Sus scrofa: one gene and its partners. The protein of the gene in region 3 interacts with the protein of the main gene of each other region in a biochemical or structural test. Links are inferred from orthologs where the notes say so. Each region holds a gene or a part of one and is shown on either strand. Other genes may lie near its edges.

The links.
Region 1: the proteins of PTEN (region 3) and CSNK2A2 form a complex in vitro, tested with the Homo sapiens proteins (2 studies listed by BioGRID, with this or other methods). The link is inferred for Sus scrofa from reciprocal best matches to the Homo sapiens genes PTEN and CSNK2A2.
Region 2: of the proteins of PTEN (region 3) and XIAP, one has a biochemical effect on the other in vitro, tested with the Homo sapiens proteins (2 studies listed by BioGRID). The link is inferred for Sus scrofa from reciprocal best matches to the Homo sapiens genes PTEN and XIAP.
Region 4: the proteins of PTEN (region 3) and PRDX1 form a complex in vitro, tested with the Homo sapiens proteins (2 studies listed by BioGRID and IntAct). The link is inferred for Sus scrofa from reciprocal best matches to the Homo sapiens genes PTEN and PRDX1.
Region 5: of the proteins of PTEN (region 3) and MEX3C, one has a biochemical effect on the other in vitro, tested with the Homo sapiens proteins (2 studies listed by BioGRID). The link is inferred for Sus scrofa from reciprocal best matches to the Homo sapiens genes PTEN and MEX3C.
Region 6: the proteins of PTEN (region 3) and MAGI2 form a complex in vitro, tested with the Homo sapiens proteins (2 studies listed by BioGRID and IntAct, with this or other methods). The link is inferred for Sus scrofa from reciprocal best matches to the Homo sapiens genes PTEN and MAGI2.
Region 7: the proteins of PTEN (region 3) and WWP2 form a complex in vitro, tested with the Homo sapiens proteins (7 studies listed by BioGRID, with this or other methods). The link is inferred for Sus scrofa from reciprocal best matches to the Homo sapiens genes PTEN and WWP2.

What each region holds. Positions count from the first base shown.
Region 1 is NC_010448.4:20,013,925-20,018,045, forward strand, and holds the start of CSNK2A2 (casein kinase II subunit alpha'), read right to left. Parts: upstream 2,801-4,121; coding exon 2,697-2,800; intron 1,911-2,696; coding exon 1,799-1,910; intron 1-1,798.
Region 2 is NC_010461.5:101,399,011-101,402,976, reverse strand, and holds the start of XIAP (E3 ubiquitin-protein ligase XIAP), read right to left. Parts: upstream 2,801-3,966; 5' UTR 2,789-2,800; exon of another isoform or gene 2,577-2,788; intron 1-2,576.
Region 3 is NC_010456.5:99,928,223-99,932,389, reverse strand, and holds the start of PTEN (phosphatidylinositol 3,4,5-trisphosphate 3-phosphatase and dual-specificity protein phosphatase PTEN), read right to left. Parts: upstream 2,801-4,167; 5' UTR 2,097-2,800; coding exon 2,018-2,096; intron 1-2,017. UniProt on the Homo sapiens protein: Dual-specificity protein phosphatase, dephosphorylating tyrosine-, serine- and threonine-phosphorylated proteins.
Region 4 is NC_010448.4:165,850,390-165,853,889, forward strand, and holds part of PRDX1 (peroxiredoxin-1), read left to right. Parts: intron 1-1,011; coding exon 1,012-1,165; intron 1,166-1,511; coding exon 1,512-1,634; intron 1,635-1,944; coding exon 1,945-2,075; intron 2,076-3,500. UniProt on the Homo sapiens protein: Thiol-specific peroxidase that catalyzes the reduction of hydrogen peroxide and organic hydroperoxides to water and alcohols, respectively.
Region 5 is NC_010443.5:100,677,952-100,680,114, reverse strand, and holds the end of MEX3C (RNA-binding E3 ubiquitin-protein ligase MEX3C), read left to right. Parts: intron 1-432; coding exon 433-1,658; 3' UTR 1,659-1,663; downstream 1,664-2,163. UniProt on the Homo sapiens protein: E3 ubiquitin ligase responsible for the post-transcriptional regulation of common HLA-A allotypes. Binds to the 3' UTR of HLA-A2 mRNA, and regulates its levels by promoting mRNA decay.
Region 6 is NC_010451.4:101,931,193-101,934,692, forward strand, and holds part of MAGI2 (membrane-associated guanylate kinase, WW and PDZ domain-containing protein 2), read left to right. Parts: intron 1-115; coding exon 116-754; intron 755-3,500. UniProt on the Homo sapiens protein: Seems to act as a scaffold molecule at synaptic junctions by assembling neurotransmitter receptors and cell adhesion proteins. Plays a role in nerve growth factor (NGF)-induced recruitment of RAPGEF2 to late endosomes and neurite outgrowth.
Region 7 is NC_010448.4:17,074,483-17,077,982, reverse strand, and holds part of WWP2 (NEDD4-like E3 ubiquitin-protein ligase WWP2), read left to right. Parts: intron 1-383; exon of another isoform or gene 384-453; intron 454-1,684; coding exon 1,685-1,844; intron 1,845-3,079; coding exon 3,080-3,213; intron 3,214-3,449; coding exon 3,450-3,500. UniProt on the Homo sapiens protein: E3 ubiquitin-protein ligase which accepts ubiquitin from an E2 ubiquitin-conjugating enzyme in the form of a thioester and then directly transfers the ubiquitin to targeted substrates.

The DNA of each region.
Region 1 (4,121 bases), on a different chromosome or scaffold from region 3:
TAACACTAAAACAAACAGTAAGAGAGAGGAAAAAAATAGGAAACAGGAGTTCTGGCCAAGGGTTATTTCAACATAGTGACGTTAGATATGCTTCTTGGTGCCTAAATTTCTGGTTGGTTAAAAATGTCCTTCAGTTTCCATATCGGGTACCCTAAACATATCCTATAAATCTTTAGAGCAGGGGAAAACTATCCAGCAACTGAGGCTATGAAGTTCTCCACAAGGATGACAAAAGGGCAATATGACACTTCCCTAAATGAATGTACTATTACTTATATACACACCTGAATGTGGTTCCCTTTCAAAAGACGCCACAGGAAGTTGCATACTTACTCTAAAAATGCTACCATCACATCAAAGTTTAGACATTTTTCTGGAATTGCTTTAGAGTCAGCAGTTTATTCTTCTGATTGCACAACAGTGGGATATGGGTACTCCTAATGTCAATTTATGCCTTGCTTATTTCCTAGAGAGATTTTAAGTAGCTCTATTAAAAACATTTATGCTAATGTTTAACAGAAAAAAACTGTATGGTTTCCCAGGTGACTTCTCTGATGGGAATATTTCTTTAAATATTTGTGAAGAAAAAAAATAAAGACCACGTGACTTTGTAGGAGCAGTTCATATTTAGGGAAGAGGAGAGTCAAACTCCCTATCTTCAGTATCAATTCCTCACATCTCCCCCCCAGTGTTTCTGACAGCACAAATAACTTGCCTATTTCTCTGCAAACCTGCCTCTTCATCACAAGGCTAGAATGGTAGCAGTAACAGAGTCAATCACTTTTCTGAAAGGTGATTTTCTGATAGTCGAAGCCTGACCTCCCTTTTTAAATCGGGACACAGCTGCCCCAACTTTACTTAAGGCACAAAAACAGCTTTTCAATCCTACATTCTTGTTCGCAGAGCCTCTCCAAAATGGCCACATTGGAACTCTTGTATATGTGAAAGTGCTTATATGCTCCTACTAATCAACTCTTTGGTCTTCTCGTGATTTCACTAAATGACATGCACGCACATTAAATGATCAGGCAATGATCATTGAAAAGAGTCTAAGAATTATTTTTTATATGCCTTTGACACATTATCAAAGCTACACAACCAGTTACTCAGAAGAGAATTTAGCCAACTCTTCATGTTCATCAAGATCAAGCCTTCCTTCAAGAGATGACAAAAGGTATCTTTAACAAATTCAGGGTTCTATAAACTAGACAGGTTGTTTTGCTTTAATTCAAAACAACCCAACTTCACGTTTACTAGCTGATAAGCAACAATGAATCTTCCTGGCACTACTGGCTCACTATATCCATCTTACCTGAAACTTTTAACACCAAGAAGGAAAAAACAAGTCATTTTTCCACAGGAGTGGTTCCCTCCACTCAGGTTTCAAATGCATCCTTGAAGCTACTTTTTTACAACTTTCTGGAATAACATATACAGTACTTGAGGAGCCTTTGCGTTGATAGGATCTTCATGAAAAGGCTCTTTTTGCTTCTGAATGCCTATTTATTTTCTAATAAATGGAGCCCCTTTGGAAGTTTCACTTTGGAAGCCTTTAATTACATTTCAGAACAAGCATGTTCCTGAACCATCACACTTAGAGTTGAAACAGGTCTGCCTATTTCTGCAGATTTTCTTGAAAGTTCACAGGAAAATGAGGTGGGAGGAGTAGGAGAGGGACATCAGACAGAACAGATGCAAAATGAGAGCTCAAACTGCTCATTGGAGAATGTGGCTGAAATAGTTCATATCCTTCTGACCTGTGAAAAAGAAACTTTAACGCCGCTCATAAGACACTCACCTTGAGAATTTTTACAACCACTCTCTCGTTGTTGGTGATGTTAATGGCCTCAAATACTTCACTATACTTTCCCCGACCAAGTTTTCGAACCAGCTGGTAATCATCTTGATTACTGTGAAAGCCAAGAGCGACAAATATAAATGGCAGGACTTAGGATTAACCAAGCCTATGCCCACTACACACCCCATCCAGGCGCTTCCATTAATCAAGCACTTGGAAGTGTCTACACATCATGCCACAACTCATTCCCTAAATGAAAGCCACAACATAAACTTGGCTCCTCGCACTAGACGCAGTTCCTAACCTAATTGGTCCCTCATAACTTAGGGGAGATAAGGTGGAAGGCACGGGTCTGACTCAATCTAGAGGTGAGCAAAGCATCCATCCCGGAGGCCCAGAGGTGCCCCTCCGCCCAGCACCTGCCTTCTATTGCACACCCAGAAGGTAGACACCGCCTGCCTTGCGAATCTGGACATCCTTAAAAAATTTCCTCCCACCCATCCTCATTTCAAAAAAATAGAAAAGCAAAGAATTTTAATAGCTCAAGAGGACAGCTGCTGACTTCCCACCCCAATAGAAACCCCAAAGCGTAAAAGGAAAGGCTGCTCCCTTACTCCCACCGGGCTCTGGTCCCTGGACCCCTACACTTGTAAGGAAGTATACCCTGGGGTAAGGGGTACGCACAACGGGGAGGGAGAAGCGGAAGGGAGGAGAGGAAGACGAGGGCACTGGTGGGGGGAGTGGACCTCCCACCCCAGACCGGAGAAGCGCAGGCCCAGCAAAGGGGCAGGCGAGGAGATAGACAGCGGGGGACAAGTGCGGTTTGCGCGGGGGGTGGGGGGACGGCCGGGCGGGGGTGGGAGTGAGAGGGCCCGGCGGGGGGCGGCGGCGGCTTTACCCCCAGCTCGGGACGTGAGACTCATAGTCCCAGTACTCGCGGCTCCTCAGGCTGTTCACCTCGGCGTAGACCCGGGCCCTGCTGCCCGCGGCCGGGCCCGGCATGGCGGGCGGGACCGGGGGGCGTCGCGGGGCGCCGAGGGCGGCGGCGGCGGCGCGACGGGGGGCGCGGGGCGGCGGGCGGAGGAGGCGGCGGGCCGCGGGCCGCCGGAGGAGGAGGAGGAGCGCAGCGGCGGGCGGCCGCGCCAGGCCGGGCCCGCGGGGGCGGGCGGGCTGGGGGCGCGGGGGGCGCCGGCCAAGCCGGCCGGGCCCTGGAGCTGCCGGCGGGACGGCGGGGCGGATGGCGCTCGCGCTCCGCGGCGGCCTCCGCTCGGCTCGCGGCCCCGAGGCGGCGGCGGCGGCGTCGGCGGCACCAGCAGCGGCAGCCGCCGGCCGGGAAAGGGGCAGCGGCAGCGGCGGCGAAGAAGGAGGAGGAGGAAACCCGGAAAAGGGGCCGCGCTCACTAGGAGCGGCCGACGCCCGGCCCGGGGCCGCCCAGCCTCACAGCGCCCCCTGCAGCGCGGGGGGACCCGCCCGCCGGCCTGGTCCCGCCCCTGACCCCGCCCCTCCAGGATCCCCTTCCAAATCTACCCATCCTTGGTCTGGCAGAAAGCGCTCATCACAGGGCCTCCCCGCCCACAGGCTGCTGTCCTAGAGCCTTGCCCCCTCGCCTACTCTTCCAGGACTCTCCTAGAGACCCCCTACCCCAAAGCTCTCTACCCTTTCGTCATCCAGAGTTTCACCACCAGACCTCTCATACCGACCCTGCTGTGACACTTTTGTCACCCAAACTGTTCCCATCAAGTCCCTCCCTCATGAAACTTGCTCTTTTCACTCAGAACCTCTCCAACTCCTGATTTCCCCACCCCTCCCAGAGACAGCCCATCTTCCCTGATAGACTCTCCCCTGCCACCCACAGACTCTTGAACCTCCAGACTTCCCCTTCTCTCTTCATCCACAAAACCCTTATCTTACATTTTCCCCAAAATATCCTTCCAGAACCTTCCCTAAGAACTCTCTTTATGTTCATATCCTCACTTGGTTAAGTTGGAGTCAGCCAAGTTACTCACTGTAAAGTTCCTATTTTTCCCTTTGTAATTAATAAGCAAAATGTGTGGAGACACTTTGAGACCATAGAAATACCTTGGTTTGGTTTGGGAGGACAGAGAGCAGGAGAATTGTGAGAGTCCTGCCTTGAAGGGACAGGCTAGGAGTTGGGTATGGACTGAGGGTGGGGTGGCCAACCAAACTTTGGCCTATTTTATTAGGTTGCCTTCTAGCCCTGAACACTCTTCTCTCCTTGATGTTCTGGGCCTTTCTTTGGTCTTGCTTTTCCATCCCACATTTTTTAATCACTCAGCCTGGGTTGCTTTGAATCCAATCCTTT
Region 2 (3,966 bases), on a different chromosome or scaffold from region 3:
AATATTAAGATGATAAATAATGGGGAATTACTTAGGAAAACAAAACCAATGTTAAACACTTTAATATCTACCTGTATACCTATGATGCTACCTATTCAATAAAAGAGTATCTTCAGCCACTTAAAAAAAAGATGTAATATTCCAATTGCTCTTTTCATGTTTTGAATTAAATGGAATATATTTAAAAAGTTATGAAAAAGAAAAAAAGAAATATGGAGGCAATGAGGTTGAGTGATTTGCTCATAATTACACAGTTTACCTGAAACAAAGCCAACACAAGAACCCTGGCTTCCAATCAAGGGCTCTTTCCACCAAACCTCATGACCTCTTAAGAATAGCTTTTGTTCAGTTCAACTTATTTTACCACTACTGTTTTTATCTCCTCAAATCTGCTCACACAATGACCTTAAACAGTGTTACAGATTACACTGTAATACTATTACCAGATCAGACCACAGAGACAAAGCTTTAGAACTGACAGCTCATGATAATCTCCCGTCCTCAAAAGAACAAGGGCATCTATTTTGCCATACTCATCTTTGGAATTCTAGCACATAGTGTAATACCTGGCATACATAGTAAGTGCTCAATAAATTAAAAAAAAAATCATAGATTTTTTTCCCCCTGTTAGCACCAACTACCAGACCAAAAAAAAAAAAAAAAAACCCAAAACAGTGAAATATAAATTATTTCATATTTGGGGTCTCTAAGCATTTATTAACTTTTTTTTTGTCTTTTTGTCCTTTTAGGGCTGCACCTGAGGCATATGGAGGTTCCCAGGCTAGGGGTCTAATTGGAGCTGTAGCTGCTGGCCTATACCACAGCTCAAGGCAACGCTGGATCCTTAACCCACTGAGCAAGGTCAGGGATCAACCTCATGGTTCCTAGTCGGATTCATTAACCACTGAGCCACGATGGGAACTCCAGCATTTATTAATTAAATAAAAGACTTCTTAAGTGAAGGCTTACAACCAAATATAAGGGGAATATTTACATTACTAAAATATTTCAAGCATTATACAAACTGATACATTAATTGCAATAATACTTATCTACTGAAATGGGCTGGACTAATCTTTAGTCAGATTACTTCATCCCCCTAGATGAATGCACTAGAAAGTGATAAAACTGCAGATGTAGTACAAGGAGCCCTGGACTAGGACCTACACTAATCCAAGCTCTGTTAATAATCAAATATATAACCTTGGGCAACTTCCTTTTTCATCTTTATGTCTTAACCTTTCATAAAAACAAAAGAGCTGAACAATTAATTACCAGGGACCTTTCCAGTCTTAAATTTTTTATTGAGTTTTATCCACAAAGATTCCACATTCAGAATTTTTTCATTGTGTCAAATTTGATACCCTGAATGTTATAATTTGCTACATTATTCAATAATCAAAAGCTTAGCACATCTCCTAAAAATATATAAAAACTAATAACATATATTATTGTTACCTTCTTACATTAGGATCAATAGAAGAAAACCAAAGATGAAATGTTAGCATCCAATAATCTGGCCTGCTTTGCCAGTTGGGCTGAAATGAACCAATCTGGATTTTACAGTACAAACCACTGATACCTAAATACATATAGGTATATAAACATATATACACACACCACTGGTACTTGTTCATACTGATACACACGTGTGTGTGAACTTTAAAACTTGTTTTTAGTTATAAAATCAATAGTTGTTTATGGTAAAAAATTCAAACGATACATTTGGTCACATGTGAAGTGCAAGTAAAAAGCCTCCCACCCCCTCCACCCTCCATAAGTAACCACTGATGACATTTTTTTTTGTGCACCATTCAAGAAATTATCTGAGCATATACAAGTAGGCCTGTCTATGTATACATTTTTTTAACCTAAATCTTTGCCATTCCTTGAACGACGGGGAAAAATACCTCAAGCACTGGCTTCATAAACATGTTAAATACGTTGAAAGTAGGCAGCACAGTTGTATGGCACAAAGTGGTACATACTTCCAAAATGTGCACCGAATACGTTTTAATTTTCTTGCTTGGAGGCTATGTGGAGCAGCTGAGCAGAAAGAGCAGTGAGCCAGGAGCCAGACAACCTGGGTTCTAATCTAAGTAATGGAGTAGCCTCAGGCAAGCCATGAAATCTTCTTGTGCCTTAGTTTCTGCTTTTGTAAAATACCGCGGTTGAACTAAGATCCCTTTCAACTCTAAAATGTTATAATTCTAAGATGGCCGTCTGTAACAGTGTTCTCTTGAACTGGATATAACAAATGTTAAGTTAAAAAAGACAAGAAACAAACACTATAGCAACCTCCAATCTTAGAGCAAATATCTGTGTGTCATTAACTACAAAAGTAGTACATTTGTGACATAAATAGTGATGTAATTACATTTTAAAACAAAGTAGTAGATTATTAAAATCTGATAGGTCTTTACAAAGCTTTGATTGACGTTTTTCTTTTTCTGAAGGGTTAGTGGGCTGTCGTTTAGTTTCAGCAATAACCCCTCCTCCCGAAACGAAAAGAATTAAGTGTATTACGGAGTTAAAATAATGAAACTGAAAGTTAGACCGAATTTTGTTTTACTCACAGAATATGCTGGGGAGGTGACGAGGGTAGCAAAGGTTGGAAAGAATTACTAGCTAATTTCCTCTTCCGGAAGGTCCTTGGCTCCTATTCTTTCTGTTTCACACACTCTCGCCAGACACACCCCACCCAGCTCCATACCTGCCGCAGGCATTAGATTGGGGGGGGGGTGTCCCTTGGATCATTAAGAGAAAAAAGTTCTTTGACTCGATTTACCTTAGAGGTCATGGGTTTAAGGAGGCAGCCTGGCGGCCCGATGCCACCCACGCCTTTCTTCGGCAGTCCAGGGAACCTGGGCACTGAGTCCCGGGCGGGCCACCCGCGCCGGGCAGGGGCTGCCTTTCCGCCCTTCCCCGCAGCGCGGGGCCCGAGGGGAGGGAGGGGAAGGAGGAGAGGGAGGGGAGAAGAAGGAGGGGAGGGAGGGAGGGGAGGGAAAAGAAGGAAAGGGGAGGGAGGAGGAAGCCCGTTCGGGCAGTACCCACCGCGCCTTGAGAGCCGGCCTGGATCGCCCGGGGCGCACCGCGCAGTGCTGAGGGGAGGGTCCTGGAGGAGGGGCGGCCCAAGCCCCAATCTGGAAATGCCAACTCCTCCCGGAGGCCAGGCCCCGGCTAGAAGGAAACGGAAGTCTCTTAGTCTCCCCAGCTCGCACGTAGCAGCCCGCCTATCCCCGGGAGGAACCCCGAGTCGGGGAATCCAAAGTGCGTTCACGTCAGGGCCTCAAAGAGACACAGCACACGGCACTGCCCATCCGCCCCCGGCGCCCGCCCGCGCAGTCTCCTGGCCTCTGCCCCCGCCCAGCAAAGCCCCTCCTCCTTCCCCTTCCGCCATTTTCGAATTTACCCCTCCTGCCCAGGCCTCCCTCGATTAGCCCTGAGCTCGTCCACGAAGCCGCTGAAGGCCTGCCATTTTTTTCGGCCGGAAGGGGGCGACCCAGAGGAACGCGGCCCTATTACCCTCCCCCCACCCCACAAGCTGGATACTAGGACCTGAAAGAGCGAGCGCATGCGCAATGGGCACCTCAAGTCCCGCCCCCAGGTCAAGCATTTCCTCTTGTGCCTCAAGGTGTTTTTTCCCGCGGTTTTTACCTGATGAGCTCTAGGGTGGAGGAGTGGGGGAAGTGAGTTAAAAGAATGAAAAGATAAAGAGAGCGAACATGTTGAGTTCTTACTGTAGACCAATCACTGTGGTCGGCATGAGACCTGTTCTTTGTTGTAATTTTGACAACCCTCTAAGGTAGGCACTCTCATGTAACACCACTTTAACGGGAAAATTGAGGCCCAGAGAGGGGCTAACTGCCCCATAGCACGCAGCTAATAAACGAGGGAACTGAGGAATTCCCATTGTGGCTCAGCGAGTTAAGAACCTGACCAGTATCCATGAAGATGCGGGTTGGA
Region 3 (4,167 bases):
TAAACAGCATTCTGGAAAATTTTTTGAATGGAGGCTTATTTTAAAAAGTTAAACAGTTAATTAATGTGTTCCTATATATTCAGATGACTGTCAGTTTACGCCAACAGTAGACTATTTTTGAAGTAAGTTACAAATCAGAAGAGTTTTTCCGTAATTAACTTCTGGGTAAGCGGGTCAAGTTCAGTCTCAGTAAAGTTTTCAATTAATGCAACTTTAAAATTTCCAAATATTCTTTTTAAACATTCTTTTTTAACTTAACAGAAAACGGTTACCTTGTGTGCGTGGTAAAGCTATTTCTTCAGTAATTTTATCTTCATTTCAAAACAAATACTTCGAGTAAATTAGCTGTGCACACTATGTGCACATACATAACCCGAAGGAATAAAATCTCTCCAGATATACAACGTTTGATTCAAAAAAACTCCCCCACAATTTTTAGCTGTACATATATAAACACTTTAGTCTCACTTTACCTTTAGGAGAGATGTTTACTGACAGTTGCTAAGAAACCACTTTTATTAAAGAATATTAACACTTATAAAACTACATAGTTTTAACTAAATATTGTCAACTAGTAAAATTCATACCACCAAATTTCTTATCTTAATAGAGGCTTAAAAAAATGCTTCAGTCACCTCAGACCAGTAACTTAATCCTGTCTCATGTCTATACACTGGCCTTTCGTAACTCTCAATTTCTGATACTTTTCATTCTGCAAAAAAGGGCTCCATTCCCATCCTTGATCAAAGCCAGCTTATTATACCTGAAACTGCAAAGATTAATGCCTTTTGATAACCAGCATCTTTTGAAGTACAAGGGCCTGTTAGACAACCAATACTATACACTATTGAAATTCTTGGGTTTCTATCTTATTCAACAAGCTGACTCAGTAAATTTAAGACACCGTATGGAAAAAGCGGAACACACCTACAATCTGAAGCTGGAGTAATCCACTCTTGCCAGTCTGATTATTAGCTGATAAATTGTACTTGACATTCTACACAAGTCAGAGTAAGATTAACGGATACCCAAAGGTGTCAGAGGACATGATACCTAAATAAGGTGAGCAGCAATTCTGGCATCACAATAATACTTAAATTTCAAGTGAAACTGAAGTTTAATCTCTGCAATCACCATTTGCTACACACTATACCCTTCAACCTATACAACCTTATCATCTGGGATCAAAAACCACTCAATCTCCATTCTACTACTTGTCACAAGAGCACTGAATATAAAATGCTACTGAATTGCAAATTTCATATCCTATCCCATATCACCCCAATGGGGGGAGGGGAGCAAATTTAACAAAGATCTAATAAGAACGATTTATGAGATATACCACGGCACTATTGATTTCAAGCTACAAAACTTCCACATGCAGTTCAAAGTTGTAATTAACTTTGTTTTAACACACAAACCTACTTTTGCCTTCAAATGAGCACCATATATGCTAAAATGATTCTCTCTAAAGTTATGCAAATCAGTTCACAACTCACATTTTAAAAGAATCTATCAATGCAACCCAGGAAACTCAAAACAATCACTGCAAGATTCTGATGCAATATGCGTACGTGCAACACTAATTTTCATTTTAATCTGATCTATACCCTTGATCTAGGGCCTAAAGCCAAGATTTAATCGAAATATGCTCAACCTCAAAGCATCTACTTTTCTGTTCATTTAATAGACCGGATTACCGAGCTCACTAATCCACTAACACTGTACTGTATTCTGTATTAACGGACAATAGCCCTTAGGAAGAGACCCCGTAGACAGACTAAGAAACCCATGGGCGCCTTGACACTTGCAACCAAGCAAGAGTTCTGTCTAGATGAACACACCCTAGGCTGAATGCATTCAAAAGCAGCACAAAATATACATGATCTAGAAATCTGATTAGGGTTAAATGTTATAGTCACCCAAACTATGGACATTTTTCGCATCCGTCTACTCCCACGTTATAAGAGCGAGTGACAGAAAAGCAAAGAGGAGCAGCAGCCACAGAAATGGATACAGGTCAAGTCTAAGTCGAATCCATCCTCTTGATATCTCCTTTTGTTTCTGCTAACGATCTCTTTGATGATGGCTGTCATGTCTGGGAGTCTGTGGCTGAAGAAAAAGGAGGAGAGAGATGGCAGAAGCTGCTGGTGGCGGGGCTTCTTCTGCAGGATGGAAATGGCTCTGGACTTGGCGGTAGCTGATGCCCCTCGCTCTGCTGCCGCTTGGCTCTGGACCGCAGCCGGGTAATGGCTGCTGCGGCGGCTGCTGGATGGTTGCAGCGACTGGGCCTGCTTCTCCTCAGCAGCCAGAGATCTGGCAGCGGCGGCAGCGGAATGGGGAGAAGACGAATAATCCTCGGAAAGGCTGCCTCCTCCGGCGGCCTCTGGAGCCCGGGCCAGGGGGGGTGCGGCGGCGGCGGAGGGGAGGTTTAAAACCGGCCCGGGTCCCTGGATGTGCCGCCGCCGCCGCCGCCGTGTTGGAGGCAGTAAGAGGGGAGAGACCAACTCTCCGGCGTTCCCAGCCCTGGAAATGATGACAGGCGACTCCGACCCCCTCCCCGGAGCTGCAGCCGCCGCCGCCGCCGCCGCCGCCGCTTCTCCCCCCCGCTCCAGGAGCGGGAGGTGCCGCCGCCGCTCCTCAGCCGGCTCCCGCCCGAGCCCACGGCTTCCACCGTCCCTTTCAGAAGAAGCCGAGGAAGAGGCTGCACGGTTAGAAAAGAGGACGAAGAGGAGGCGAGAAACGCCGCCGCTGCCGCCGCCGCCGGCCGGCCGGCTCCCCGAGGGCGCTGCCCCCGCGGCTGCTCACAGGCGTTGAGAGGGGCTCTGGGCCGCGGCCGCCGCCGTCTCTCATCTCCTTCGCCTGAGCCCGGTCTCGCCTCACAGCGGCCCAACTCTCAAACTTCCATCATGGCTGCAGCTTCCGAGAGGAGAGAACTGAGCGCAGCCGCGTCCCGGCTCCGAACGGGTATCCTGCCGCAGTGCACAAAGAGTCCCGCCACATCACCGCCCGCCAGCCTGCCCGCCCCCTCCGCCGCCGCGCTAGGGGCAGGGGCGCCTGGGAGCCCGAGGGGAGGCGGGAGGCGGGAGGCGGGCCGGACCGCGCCAGGGGAGAGACGCGCAGGGCAGGGCTGGGGTTTTAGGGAGGGGGCAGAAGCGGCAGCTCTGGTGCGAGCGCCGAGTCCCCAACCTGCTGGCGCCACTGAGCATGCCCAGTATGACTGCCCGGGGCTCGCTCGGGCTTGTTCCGAGGCCCCCTCCTGAAGCTGCACTTGCTGCGGCTGCTTCTGCAGCAACGCAGGGTGGGGGGACGAGCTGAACCATAGCCTGTGCCCAGCAACGCAACCCGAGGCAGAATAGGCTGTTGCGAGCGAGACAGGGGGGTTAAGGTGAAGGCTGAGGCAGGTTCTTTGAGCAGTGTCACTGACGCGAGTCTGAGGTTACCTGTGCACAGGTGGGAAAGACCAGGTGACTGCGCTGGTAGTGTACCGGGAAGCGCAAGGATGGTCCCTACAGCGAGGACACCTCTCCCCTTGCCCCCAGATTTCCCTGGCACGGCCTGCAACCCCCCGTCCTTTTGCACCGCTGTCGGATCACAATCGTTCGCAGGGATTTGACTGCAGCAGCCTCTGCCAAAAAATCCACCTATCCCCCACCCCCACCCGTGTCCTCAAGGTGTCAGTCTTAATACAAAGAATCCCCTATTGTGTCTCTAGTGTGTATCACCTCATCCGGCTCCCTTGCATCGCCCCACCTCCCGCTTCCCCGGCAACCTGGTTCATTTGCCCTAAAATTGAAAGGTCCAGCAGAGCGTGCTGAATATGAACACATCGCCCCTGAATTTCTAGATCCCAAAGGACAAATGTCCAGGTGAAATGAAAGCTGATACCCGACGCTGGGATGCACCCCAGCCCCCTGGAGAGCAGAGAGCATCTCTCCCCTCGGGGTTCCAGTAGGGTTCACCGCGTCGAACTGAGCCAAAGACTCCTCGCCCCGCCCCCTTTTGGGCCGCTGTGAAAACCTGGCTGGCTGGATCGCCCCGGGGCCCGGTTCCGCGCTCCACCACCCGGGCGGAGACTCGGGTTGCTGGGCCGGAGAGTGAAGTACGCGACGGTAGGAAGCTGCAGCCCCGGCGAGTGGGCGGAGCCGAGGAGACCGAGGAGGGTTC
Region 4 (3,500 bases), on a different chromosome or scaffold from region 3:
TAGCACATCTCACATAGGGGTTGGAACACGAGCAGGTCAGTGGGGCCCTATGGAGGGAGGCTTCTCCTGGCAAACAAAGTAAGTAGCACCTTAGGGAGGTGACCCAGGCCCAAGGGTAAAGCCATGAGGTTTTGGAAGAGCTCCTCTTTGCCCGCCAGGGCTTGACCTGCTGAAGCTTGTTAGGCAGAGCCCTGGAGAAGTTTGTTTAGATGAATGGTGTTAGCTTTCAAAGTGAAGTTCAAAAAGGAACAGCTAGTTATGATTTTCAAGCATTGATGCTATTTGGAAATAAGTGAATATTTGAAATTGTTCCAAACAGCTCAGCCCATTAGGTGTGGTGAGAGGCTGCCTGGCAGGTTGGTAGAGTAACTTTAGTAAAATTCCAGCTAGAAATCCTGTTACCTACTAGGAGAAATTTTTTTTTTTCTTTTTTTTTTAGGGCTACATCTGTGGCATATGGAGGTTCCCAGGCTAGGGGTCCAGTCGGAGTTATAGCCACTGGCCTACGCCACAGCCACAGCAATGCCAGATCCAAGCCGGGTCTGGGACCTACACCACTGCTGATGGCAATGCCGGATTCTTAACAACCCACTGAGCGAGGCCAGGGGTGGAGCCCACATCCTCACGGTTACTAGTCTGGTTATCACTGAGCCGCGTAGGAAATCAACTTAAAAAGGCTTCTTGGGAGTTCCCGTCGTGGCTCAGTGGTTAATGAATCTGACTAGGAACCATGAGGTTTCGGGTTCGATCCCTGGGTTAAGGATGTGGCATTGCCGTGAGCTGTGGTGTAGGTCACAGACGCGGCTTAGATCTTGTGTGGCTGTGGCTGTGGTGTAGTCCGGCTGCTACAGCTCCGATTGGCTCCCTAGCCTGGGAACCTCCATATGCTGCAGGAGCGGTCCTAGAAAAGACACACACACACACAAAAATAAAATGTCTTTAGGTTTTCATTGTCTATGAAGCAAGAAGTCTGTTTCGAAGGCTAATTTGTGGCTCCTTTTTTTTTCCCAGGAAAATACGTGGTGTTCTTCTTTTACCCACTTGACTTCACCTTTGTGTGCCCCACGGAGATCATTGCTTTCAGTGAGAGGGCAGAAGAATTTAAGAAACTCAACTGCCAAGTGATTGGTGCTTCTGTGGATTCTCACTTCTGTCATCTGGCCTGGTAAATCTCTTGGTCCATTTGGCACGTGGACTTTTGAACTGAGCAGTGACCGGGACTGGGCAGCTTTGGCAATAGACTTTCTCAAGTATTGGCCTCTGGCTCCTCATGGAAGGAGTGCAAAGGTGTTTTGACTTCCTCTTGTTGTTCTCTTATTACCTGGCAGCTTGGGTTGAGACTGCATGTACCCTGGTGACTTTAATTGTCCTTAGCTGTTTACTTTGCTGGGAAAAGCATGCAGCGTTTGGGGAGTTAGATTAGGAAGGTTGGAAATGGGAAGGAATAAATACAGTTAATGCTTTTGCTACAGAAGAATTTGAATGAATGTGATTGATTTTTTTGCTTGTAGGATCAACACCCCCAAGAAGCAAGGAGGACTGGGACCCATGAACATTCCCTTGATATCAGACCCCAAGCGCACCATTGCGCAGGACTACGGGGTCTTGAAGGCCGACGAAGGCATCTCATTCAGGTAAAAACCTGCGCGGGAGCTGACTGACAGTCAGCAAGAGAGTCATCTGATTGGCTCAAGGTTTTTATTGGAAAGGTAGAGCCCTGATCTGTAGAGAATTCTGATTTCATTTTTTTCCTGTTTTGTGGAGGGAATTGACGTACATCACTGATCGTTCATGGTCTCATTTCATTCTTTAGGCCTGAGGGCCTAAGGGGAAGGAAGGCCCATGTAAGTGCCAGAGACCACCCCATTTCAGTTTCTGCTCTGCTCTAACAGAGCCGATTCTAAAACTGCCGTCTCCCTCATACCTTGACTGTTTTCTCTCTAGGGGCCTTTTTATCATTGACGATAAAGGTATTCTTCGACAGATCACCATAAATGACCTTCCTGTTGGCCGCTCCGTGGATGAGACTCTGAGACTAGTTCAGGCCTTCCAGTTCACTGATAAACATGGGGAAGGTAAGCCAGGTCGCCTGCTAATAGGACAGCAGAATGGTGGGGTGGGGAGAATGGAAGGAACAAAGTCTACCAGATAAGAAAAGAATTTTTATGTCTCTTTAAGAAATTGCAGTCTTTATGGGGAGTTCCTGTCATGTCATGGCTTAGCAGTTAACGAATCTGACTAGGAATCATGAGGCTGCAGGTTCGATCCCTGGCCTTGCTCAGTGGGTTAAGGATCCGGCATTGCCGTGAGCTGTGGTGTAGGTCGCAGACGCGGCTCGGATCCTGTGTTGCTGTGGCTCTGGCATAGGCTGGTGGCTATAGCCTGGGAACCTCCATATGCCGCGGGAGTGGCCTTGGAAAAGGCAAAGAACAACAAAAAAAGGGCATTTGCAGTCTTTGGATTACTGTGGGTGGGTGTGGTGGGGTAGTGGAAAGGCTTGGGGAGGAGACTGTAAAGGCTTTTTGTTTCAGCTGCGTATTCCCAGCTCCTGCCCTGCTCATTTAGAATCGCTCACTGCTGCTGAGTCAACTTGTTAAAGGAATGTAGGAGCATCTCCTAGGTGTATAAGGGCACAACCAAAAAAGATCGAGACTCCCATCTAGAGAAGTGGGCTGTTCTTGACAGTCGTTTATTGGGAGAAGACCATATTCTTTAGATGATACTTGTTTTATTAGGGTTTTAAACAAGTTTTGAGATTTGGGAAATAAAAATTGGACTAAGATAACTTAACCGAAGACAATAGGCAGATAACAATTAATACTTTCTATCTTCTAAAGAATCCATTCTGTGGTGTGATGTGGTTGCCCTATTTGTAAGAATTGTAGTCACCAAATACCAAATTATATAAATGTTTAATATAAAAGTTATTTTAAAGGAGGAGTTAGGGCTAGGGAGTTTGAAGTGAAATATCAAGATTCTTCATTGTTTCAGGATCAAAGAATGTTTTTGTGGGAGTTCTCTCATGGTCTAGTGGTTACGACTTGGCGTTTTCAGTGCTGTAGCTCTGGTTGTCCTCACATCAAGTTGCCGCATGGCCTGGCAAAAAGCAAAGACCAAGACCAAGAAAAATGGGAGTTCCCAACATGGCTCAGTGTGTTAAGAACCTGATCAGTATCCATGAGGATGTGGGTTTGATCCCTGGTCTTGCTCAGTGGGATAAGGATCCAGCATTGCCATGAGCTGTGGTGTAGGTCAAAGATGTGGCCCAGATCCTTCGTTGCTGTTGTTATGGTGTAGGCTGGTAGCTGCTGCTGCGATTTGACCCCTAGTCTGGGAACTAAAGCATGCCACAGGTGCTCCCCTAAAAAAAAACCAAAAACCCAATAAAAAATCCTCCAAAAACCTAAATATAAAAAAAAATCTCCCCAAAGATAATGTTTTTGTGAGTCTGTCCTTGTAAAATCTGTGACTGAGCAGATTCAATTTGTTTTTTTTTTTTA
Region 5 (2,163 bases), on a different chromosome or scaffold from region 3:
GTGTAGGTTAAATAAGACAATAGATATTAAATGTCTCACATACACGTTACCGGTTTTTCTTTGCCACCAACACCCTGCAAGGTAGTAAACTGTTAGTATTCTGAAAGTCAGCCCACTCATAGTGTAGCTATCCTATATAGAGTATTCCTGCATCATTTGCAATGGTTAATAACGAGAGAGAGAAAACAATAATCCTCTTAGTTTAAAACCTCTAGTAGAGGGATCCCCAGAAGGGTGTAGTTCAGGATCTAGGCGTCTTAGTGAAGTTAGGAAAGTTTTATTATATAGTGATAAGTTTTTCTAATAAAGAAAAAAAACTCTAAAAGGGGGAAAACTGCAGACTCTTAGGTTAAAAGGATCTCTCTCTGATTTGCCTTTATCAATATTGTTGAAGTAGGTGTTGATTCTAATGAAATCTTTTCTTTCTAACAGGTTGTAAAATTAAAGCGCTGAGAGCCAAGACGAACACGTACATCAAGACGCCTGTTCGTGGTGAAGAGCCCATTTTTGTTGTCACTGGGCGGAAAGAAGATGTTGCCATGGCCAAAAGAGAAATCCTCTCAGCTGCAGAGCACTTCTCCATGATTCGTGCATCTCGAAACAAAAATGGCCCGGCCCTGGGAGGGTTGTCATGTAGTCCTAATCTGCCCGGTCAAACCACCGTTCAAGTCAGGGTCCCCTATCGTGTGGTAGGATTAGTAGTTGGACCCAAAGGAGCAACTATTAAAAGAATTCAGCAGCAGACCCACACCTACATAGTAACACCGAGCAGAGATAAGGAACCTGTCTTTGAAGTGACAGGGATGCCCGAGAATGTTGACCGAGCACGAGAAGAAATAGAAATGCATATTGCCATGCGTACAGGAAACTACATTGAGCTCAATGAAGAGAATGATTTCCATTATAACGGTACTGATGTAAGCTTTGAAGGTGGCACTCTTGGCTCTGCATGGCTTTCCTCCAATCCAGTTCCTCCCAGCCGCGCCAGAATGATATCCAATTATCGAAACGATAGTTCCAGTTCTCTGGGAAGTGGTTCCACAGATTCCTACTTTGGAAGCAATAGGCTGGCTGACTTTAGTCCAACAAGCCCATTTAGCACAGGAAACTTTTGGTTTGGAGATACACTACCTTCTGTAGGCTCAGAAGATCTCGCGGTTGATTCTCCTGCCTTTGACTCTTTACCAACACCCACTCAAACTATCTGGACTCCGTTTGAACCAGTTAATCCACTCTCTGGCTTTGGGAGTGATCCTCCTGGTAACATGAAGACTCAGCGTAGAGGAAGTCAGCCATCAACTCCTCGTCTGTCTCCTACATTTCCTGAGAGCATTGAACACCCACTTGCTCGGAGGGTTAGGAGCGACCCACCTAGTACAGGCAACCATGTTGGCCTTCCAATATACATCCCTGCTTTTTCTAATGGTACCAATAGTTACTCCTCTTCCAATGGTGGCTCCACCTCTAGCTCACCTCCAGAATCAAGACGAAAGCACGACTGTGTGATTTGCTTTGAGAATGAAGTTATTGCTGCCCTAGTTCCATGTGGCCACAACCTCTTCTGCATGGAATGTGCCAACAAGATCTGTGAAAAGAGAACGCCATCATGTCCAGTTTGCCAGACAGCTGTTACTCAGGCAATCCAAATTCACTCTTAACTATATATATATACATAAATACTATATCTATATGGACTCGTAAAGGCATGGGTATAATGGTACCCCCAGTAAACTTCCTAATGAATTCTTATGACTGTTATCAGGCTTTATTGGGATTAGGCTAAAGTTGTTAGTAAACTTATAAAAGGCTGCTATGGTAACACTAAACCTAAGTGGTCTCTTGTCTATTAGTTTGGTTTGAATTATTAATACTATCTTGTAGACGCAGAGACATAGCTTGTGTAAGAATTGCTAAAGCTGACGTTCAACTCGGCTGAGTGAAGATAATCATAGGTTGTGTGACCCTATGAGAAAAGTGTATACGTCTAAGATTTCAAAACGATGGGTCCCAAAGCCTAACCACATTAAGAGTTTATGGAGGGTACTTGGCATTACAGATGATTCAGACACTTCCAGTGCTGCCTTCTTTACACTGCCAGTTTTGACAAAACAGGTTTGTTTGTTTTTTATTTTACAACAACTTATGCCTAATTCTGCAGGATTG
Region 6 (3,500 bases), on a different chromosome or scaffold from region 3:
TTACTGAGAAACAGAGCACCTCTTTCACTAGTCTCATAAATAATTCCATTTCTCTATGTCAACGTTAATTGAACTTACTTCATGTTGTCAATCTCTTTCTTTTTTTCCCTTGCAGGTGATGTCATTGTCTATATTAATGAAGTTTGTGTCCTTGGACACACTCATGCAGATGTAGTCAAACTTTTCCAGTCTGTTCCCATTGGTCAGAGTGTCAACCTGGTATTATGCCGTGGCTACCCTTTGCCCTTTGATCCTGAAGATCCTGCTAACAGCATGGTGCCACCCCTTGCAATAATGGAGAGGCCACCTCCAGTGATGGTCAATGGAAGACATAACTATGAAACTTATTTGGAATACATTTCTCGGACCTCACAGTCAGTTCCAGATATAACAGATCGGCCGCCTCATTCTTTGCACTCAATGCCAGCTGATGGTCAGCTAGATGGCACGTATCCACCGCCTGTCCATGACGACAATGTATCTATGGCTTCATCGGGGGCCACCCAAGCTGAACTTATGACCTTAACCATTGTGAAAGGTGCCCAGGGCTTTGGCTTCACCATTGCAGATAGTCCGACAGGACAGCGGGTGAAACAAATACTTGACATTCAGGGATGTCCTGGCCTGTGTGAAGGTGACCTCATTGTTGAGATCAACCAGCAGAATGTACAGAACCTGAGCCATACGGAAGTAGTGGATATACTTAAGGACTGTCCCATTGGAAGTGAGACTTCTTTGATTATTCATCGAGGAGGTAAGATAAACACTGGCTCAGCAATCACAGTAATATTGAAAAAATAGAAGTTTCTCTGGAGTTGAATGAAGCCATACTTTTCAAAATGAACGTAAAAAAGTAAGAGCGAAAAATAGTCCAGGAAGCTGTGCTTTTGAATTTTGAGAGTATATCTCTTCCTATTTTATATTGAGTACAATACAAATAGTGCTTTCAATCTTACAAATATATTGCTGTGAACTGAGAGGGTAAATATTGAATCGCCAGGTATGAGTTGGTTATATTCCAGAAGTTCATTAAGGTATCAGTTGTGGAGGCCTCAAACTGGCTTCCATTGACTTAATTAAGAAACCTGATTCTTCCCATGGAAGCAGTACTCTGAGCTGTGCTTAGGATTGTAAGCTAGCAACTGGAAGTTAGTTCAACCAAGCTCAGGTACAGGCTTGGTAGTCCCCAAAAGAGCCAATGGGATCTATGTCACCATAGAAAAATTTTTTCAGAGTTGTGAATAGGGTTGCTCAGGACACTTCTTCCATTATTACAGGAATGCTTCAGTAATAATTACCCCCAGCACCTTCTGTGACCTGGGAAAAGAGTTATGGAGCAGGGTTAGGGCTAAGGTTTTGGGCTGGGTGTTCCAGGTGAAGTATGGAAATGGCAGCAGCGAGGACTGTGATAGGAGCTCTGAGCCCTGGAAGTTTCTTCCCTTTCACCCTCTCCATGGGGAAGGTAGTGGTGCTAGGTAGAGGGGGCCTCCTTCATTTCTCTGGTATTCTGCTCTTTATTAGAGGCAGAGAAAGGGGAAAGCAGAAGAGAGGCACCTGAAAGCAGAGTATGAAGGAAAGACTCAAGCTAAGTCCTGGTTTTCCACTTAGCAATTTGGGGTTTTAGGACACTTCAAGTCTATGAGCCTCAGATGTCTCATCTGTTAACAATGGGATGATAATACTACCTAACCTGATGGTAGTGTCCTTAGTGTAATGGCCCACCATAGGTGCTCATTAAATGTCCATTGAGTCTAAATTAGCACCAAAGCTACAGCAGGAATGGGTCAGGAAGAGCAGTGCTGTGAGGAACTCATGTGCTAAGAGCACAGGGGTGCAAAAATATGTGATTGTCTATTCAAAGTGCTAAAAATAGCATGAAAGCCTCTTCAGTTTGAAATACAAATGAAGCAGTCAAAGCTGAAAGAAGCACTTTTTATGACATATATGGCCCTCCCTGCAGGTGTTTCCCCTTCAAGGAAGTATTTTACATTACTTATTCCTGGTGTAAAACTTTGACACCAAATACTAAGCTGTTGTGAGAAACACCATGCAAAGTACTATGATTCTATATTTTAAAAAAGAATTAATGTGACAGCAGAAGTCTTAAATGTGACCTTAAAGCATTATGACAAAATAGCACTTGAATCTTGATAATTAAATATTGACAGTGTATTTTAATTTCTCCCGTTGCTTAAGATTAAAACAAATATTCTTTTGTTTTGTTTTGTTTTGTTGTCCTTTTATGGCCATACCGGCAGCATATGGAGGTTCTCAGGCTAGGGGTTGAATCAAAGCTGTAGCTGCCAGCCTACTCCACAGCCACAGCAATGCCATATCCAGGCCATGTCTGCAGCCTACACCACAGCTTACATTGACGCTGGATCCGAATCCACTAAGGAGGCCAGGGATCGAACCTGCGTCCTCATGAATGCTAGTCAGATTCATTTCCATTGAGCCATGATGGAAACTCCAAAAACAAATATTCTTAATTAAATAGCCTTAGCTTCATAATGTACAATCAAAAATCAAATCTTTGTAAAAGGTTCTTGATAGTAAAATGCGTAACTTAAACTCACTGTGCAGTATCCACTATATGATTCATAGAAACAAGTTTGAACACATTTTTATATATATAATACCATTTTAAAAGGTATCATATAGCAGAAAAAGTATTCTGAAATTGTTTATTCATATATATTCACACCTATATAATATGTATTTATAATATTGCCATTTGTACCTTTTCTGAAAATATTTCTCCATGCCTACTGTCAGCTAGATTCTCCTATTCTTACTCATCCTTTCCTCTATTCTCCTCCACCCCAATTTAATCCTCCAGTCAGAGTTTTTTTTAATTGACGCATAGTTGATTTACAATAGTGTGTTAGTTGCAGGTGTAGAGCATAATGATTCAGTATTGTTGCAGACAGATACATAAATCAAGCATTCAAAGCTTTGTTTGCATATTGTTTGTGTTTGAGGGTGAGGTATTTCTTTTTATATTGTGGCTAGTGTACAACTAGAAAAGGTAGTACCCTGTGATGCTTAAAGTACTTCTAGTCAAAAACCTCTTGTTTTTCCCCCAATTCCCACAATTAGCACTAAGCTCTCTGAAATTAGCAGGAACTAATGCCATGTTTTTGTGATGAAATTCACTTTGATCATCTTACTATACGCTACTCAGAAGTGTATATGGCCTCATTCAAATAAGCCTAAATCCTCAAGAGCAGATTCATACACCTGGGTCTTTATGTCAGGATCATAGTTGTTTATTTTAAATGATTTACTAGGATTTTTGATTTATAAAGTAATTATGTGGTTTAATTTTTTTTCAAACAGTGTCAGAAGGTACACAATGAAAAGTAATTCTCCCTCCTGTCTCCTGCTTTCAATCCTTTTCCTAGAAGCAAACATTTTGTTTGTATACACAAACTTCCAGAAATTTTGTAGTGTTAACTAGCGTGTGTATGAATACCTGTAGTATATTTAACATTTAACAT
Region 7 (3,500 bases), on a different chromosome or scaffold from region 3:
CAAGGTCAGTGGACTCAAAATAGCTCCTATAATCCTACAAAGAGCTCAGAGCGTTGTCTTGCCCTCCCCACCGTCCACCTACAAAAGTTAACAGACTCCCCTTCCCAGTGTTGCCTCGGATGAGGGGCACAAGGGCCCTGGCAGAGAGAAGGAGCATCTTGGCCTGTGGTGACCGCTCAGCTCACTGCCTCTCATGGTGTGGGGACATCTTCTCGCTGGGTGTTGGCTTAACTTGCTTCTGGTTCTCTGTGTGCTGGTGGCGTTGCCCGCTGTGTTGGCCCCGTGGATCAATGGCTCTTTTTCCGTGGTGACCGCGATAACCTCCTCTCCAGGCTCTGCTTGGTGGTGTGGCTCCCGCCCCGTGTGTGTCTGTCTCTCTGTGTCCTGCCAGTGGTTTTACCCTATGGTAGGTTACGTCATGCTGTTCTACCACAGGGTAGAACCACGGACAGGATACCGGGGCACCCTCTGCATCGAAGGACTCCTCATCTGCCCGGCCACAAACAGCCCAGCAGCCAGGGACCGGTCCCCTTGGGCTGTCCCCCTGCTGGTCTAGCTCAAGCTCCAAAAAGGACTCTGACATCTGGCTTCAGGCTTTACCTAGGGCCCAAAGTGATGCCAAGTCATGGACATGGGTTCACAGGAATGCGTGGACATACAGGGAAGGGTATGATGATGGGGTCGGGGGCGAGGGAATGGCCAAGTGCCCCAAGGGCAGCGAGATACCTGGGCTGTAGCTGGGGGAGTGAGGTGCAGGCACAGCATGGGTTCCAGAGTTTTTGTGCATCGGGAGTTAGGAATGTGTTACCACATGTTCACAAGATGCTGCCTCCTCAGCTAGGGCGGAAGCAGGCCGGCTGCTATTCATAAAGCATTTCTGTGAAGTTTAGAAAAAGGTACCCTTTCTCAAGACACTTCTGTATTGGAAAATGGCCACAACATACTGGGTTTTATCCGAAAATGGCAAAATGGCAACTTTACAGCTGTTTGCAGGGACATTGTTGTGATAAATGTACAAATTATGGTTTTTTAAAAAGATTGTGCTAAAGTTTAGTTGATATAAAATGTGTTAATTTCTGCTGTATAGCAAAGTAACTCAATTGTACATGTATCTCTTCCTTTTCATATTCTTTTCCATTGTGGTTTATCACAGGATACTGAATATAGTTCCCTGTGCTATACAGCAGGGCTTCGTTGTTAATCCATTCTATATATAATAGTTTACTTCTGCTAATCCCAAACTCCCAATCCTTCCCTCCCCTCCGCCTTCTCCCTTGGCAACCACAAGTTTGTTCTCTATATACGATATTTTAACATAGTGTCCTTGTGCAGTGCACAGCCCACACAGCTGTGCATGGTGGCTCAGGGTGCAAGGAGCCCCTTTGCCGTTAGTTGCTCTGGATATCGGATGGGAAGTCCTGGAATGCAGCACCCAGAGCTAACATGCACGCACATGGGTCTTCCTGAGCATCATTGTCAAGTGCACTTGTTGTTCTGGTTCACCTCGGGTCTGACTCTGCTCTGTCCGTAGAGATTGGCCCAGCTGCTGATCCTGGTGGGGCTGCCTCCCCAGGACACAGGTCTCCAGACCGGGTGAAACAGGAGGCAGAGGAGAGTTGCAGCTCCAGAGGGGGTGTGCAGGGAGGGATCCATTAGTCTTGTCTTTCTCTCTCTTCTCTCACAGAGAGTGGTTTTTCCTCCTGTCCCACGAGGTGCTCAACCCCATGTACTGTTTATTTGAATACGCCGGGAAGAACAATTACTGCCTGCAGATCAACCCCGCCTCCTCCATCAACCCCGACCACCTCACCTACTTCCGCTTTATTGGCAGATTCATTGCCATGGTAAGAGTCACTGCCACAAGACCTCCAGGGCAGGCGGTGACCCCAGACACCAATGGCAGCTCTGCAGACTGGCACCCCCTCTCTGGGCCCCACCCTCATCCTTATAGAACTCCTCACTGAAGGTGCAAAAAGCTAGTGAGAGTTCCAGCGCTAGATCAGAGCTCTCTCGGTGGCCACCACAGGGTGTTGAGCAAGTTTTCCTTATTGATTCGTGTAGGACTCACCAAGCGAAAGCCCGGGCTCCCCGGATCAGAGTCTTCACTGAACATTCGTCGTGTGCCCTGTTGGGGTGGGGGATGACGGGCACGGCCCACCTGCTGCCCATCTCCGGGTGTTGCCACGAGCTGGGTGGCAAGAGCTTGGGAGGGTCTGACTATGACTCAGACCTTCTGGAAGGGAATTGGGAATCTACACTAGCTTAGAACAGAGCTCTGGTGGACCAGCTGGTGCAAGATGGAGGAGGCACCTGTCACGAGGAGGGCAGAGTAGGGAAGAAGAGTCGGTATTTGTGTTTCTGCAGAAATAGGCTCCACAGAGTGAACATGAAAAGGGGGTGACACTGGGTGCCTCCGGTTGAGTATCTCACGAGTATGGAGACAGGGGGATCTCTGGGAGCCCCAGTCCTGCTGCCATATTTGGTAGCTTGAGATGTTTTGCTGCTAACTTTCCTTCACTTCTTCCTGAGGGAGTGCCCCGCCCTGCCCCCCTCTCGGGGGGACCCAAGAGCCCATGACTAAATATGTCCTTTCCCTTTGTCTGGAAGTTCTTGGCCAAGGTGCTGGGCTCAGGAAGTGGGCACATTCTTCCCAGGTCTAGAGACCCGCCTGGCCCCGCAGCTGACAGGACAGACCAGTAAAACCCTAGACTATTACTCACCCCTGGCCCGCCAGCAGCGGCGTCTGCATTATTTTTGGCTGCCTCTGCTGCCCGGCTCTGAGCACCAGTGAGTCAGGGCCGCCCTCTGGAGCGGTACAGAATGAGTCTTCTCTGGGAGCTTGGGGCTGACTCGGCCAGAGCAGGGAGCCGGTGGGCGGGTGGGCAGGTGGTGGGCCTGCTGGGCCTGCAGGTGGCTCCCTGAGGTGTGCAGGTGGGACCAAGGGCCCTGCTTGTTCCAGGCCTTCCCTTCAGCCCCTGGGGCAGCTGGGTGCTCAGGAGGGCGGGGAGCAGGAGCCGGGCTTTGAGATGGGGCATCCTGGGAAAAGCACACCTCCTCGCCCTGTTGCCTCCTTCCTCAGGCTCTGTACCATGGAAAGTTCATCGATACGGGCTTCACCCTCCCTTTCTACAAGCGGATGCTGAACAAGAGACCAACCCTGAAAGACCTGGAGTCCATCGACCCCGAATTCTACAACTCCATCGTCTGGATCAAGTGCGTGCCCCTCCCTCGCCCCACGCTGGGTTAAAGGCTGGGGTGGAGTGGGGGGGCTGGGTAGCTTCCAGTCTGCCTGCAGGGCAGCTCAGGAGGTGTCCTCTGCCTCCCGAGGTGGGTTCTAGGCCACCTGCGGATCCCCGTGTCCCGTGGGCCCTGCAAGTGCGTGACAGCCGAATTGGGGGAAGGCCCCTTCTGTGACAGACTTCTTCCCCCTGGGTCTGTCGTGCCCCCAGAGAGAACAACCTGGAGGAGTGCGGCCTCGAGCTGTACTTCATCCAGGACAT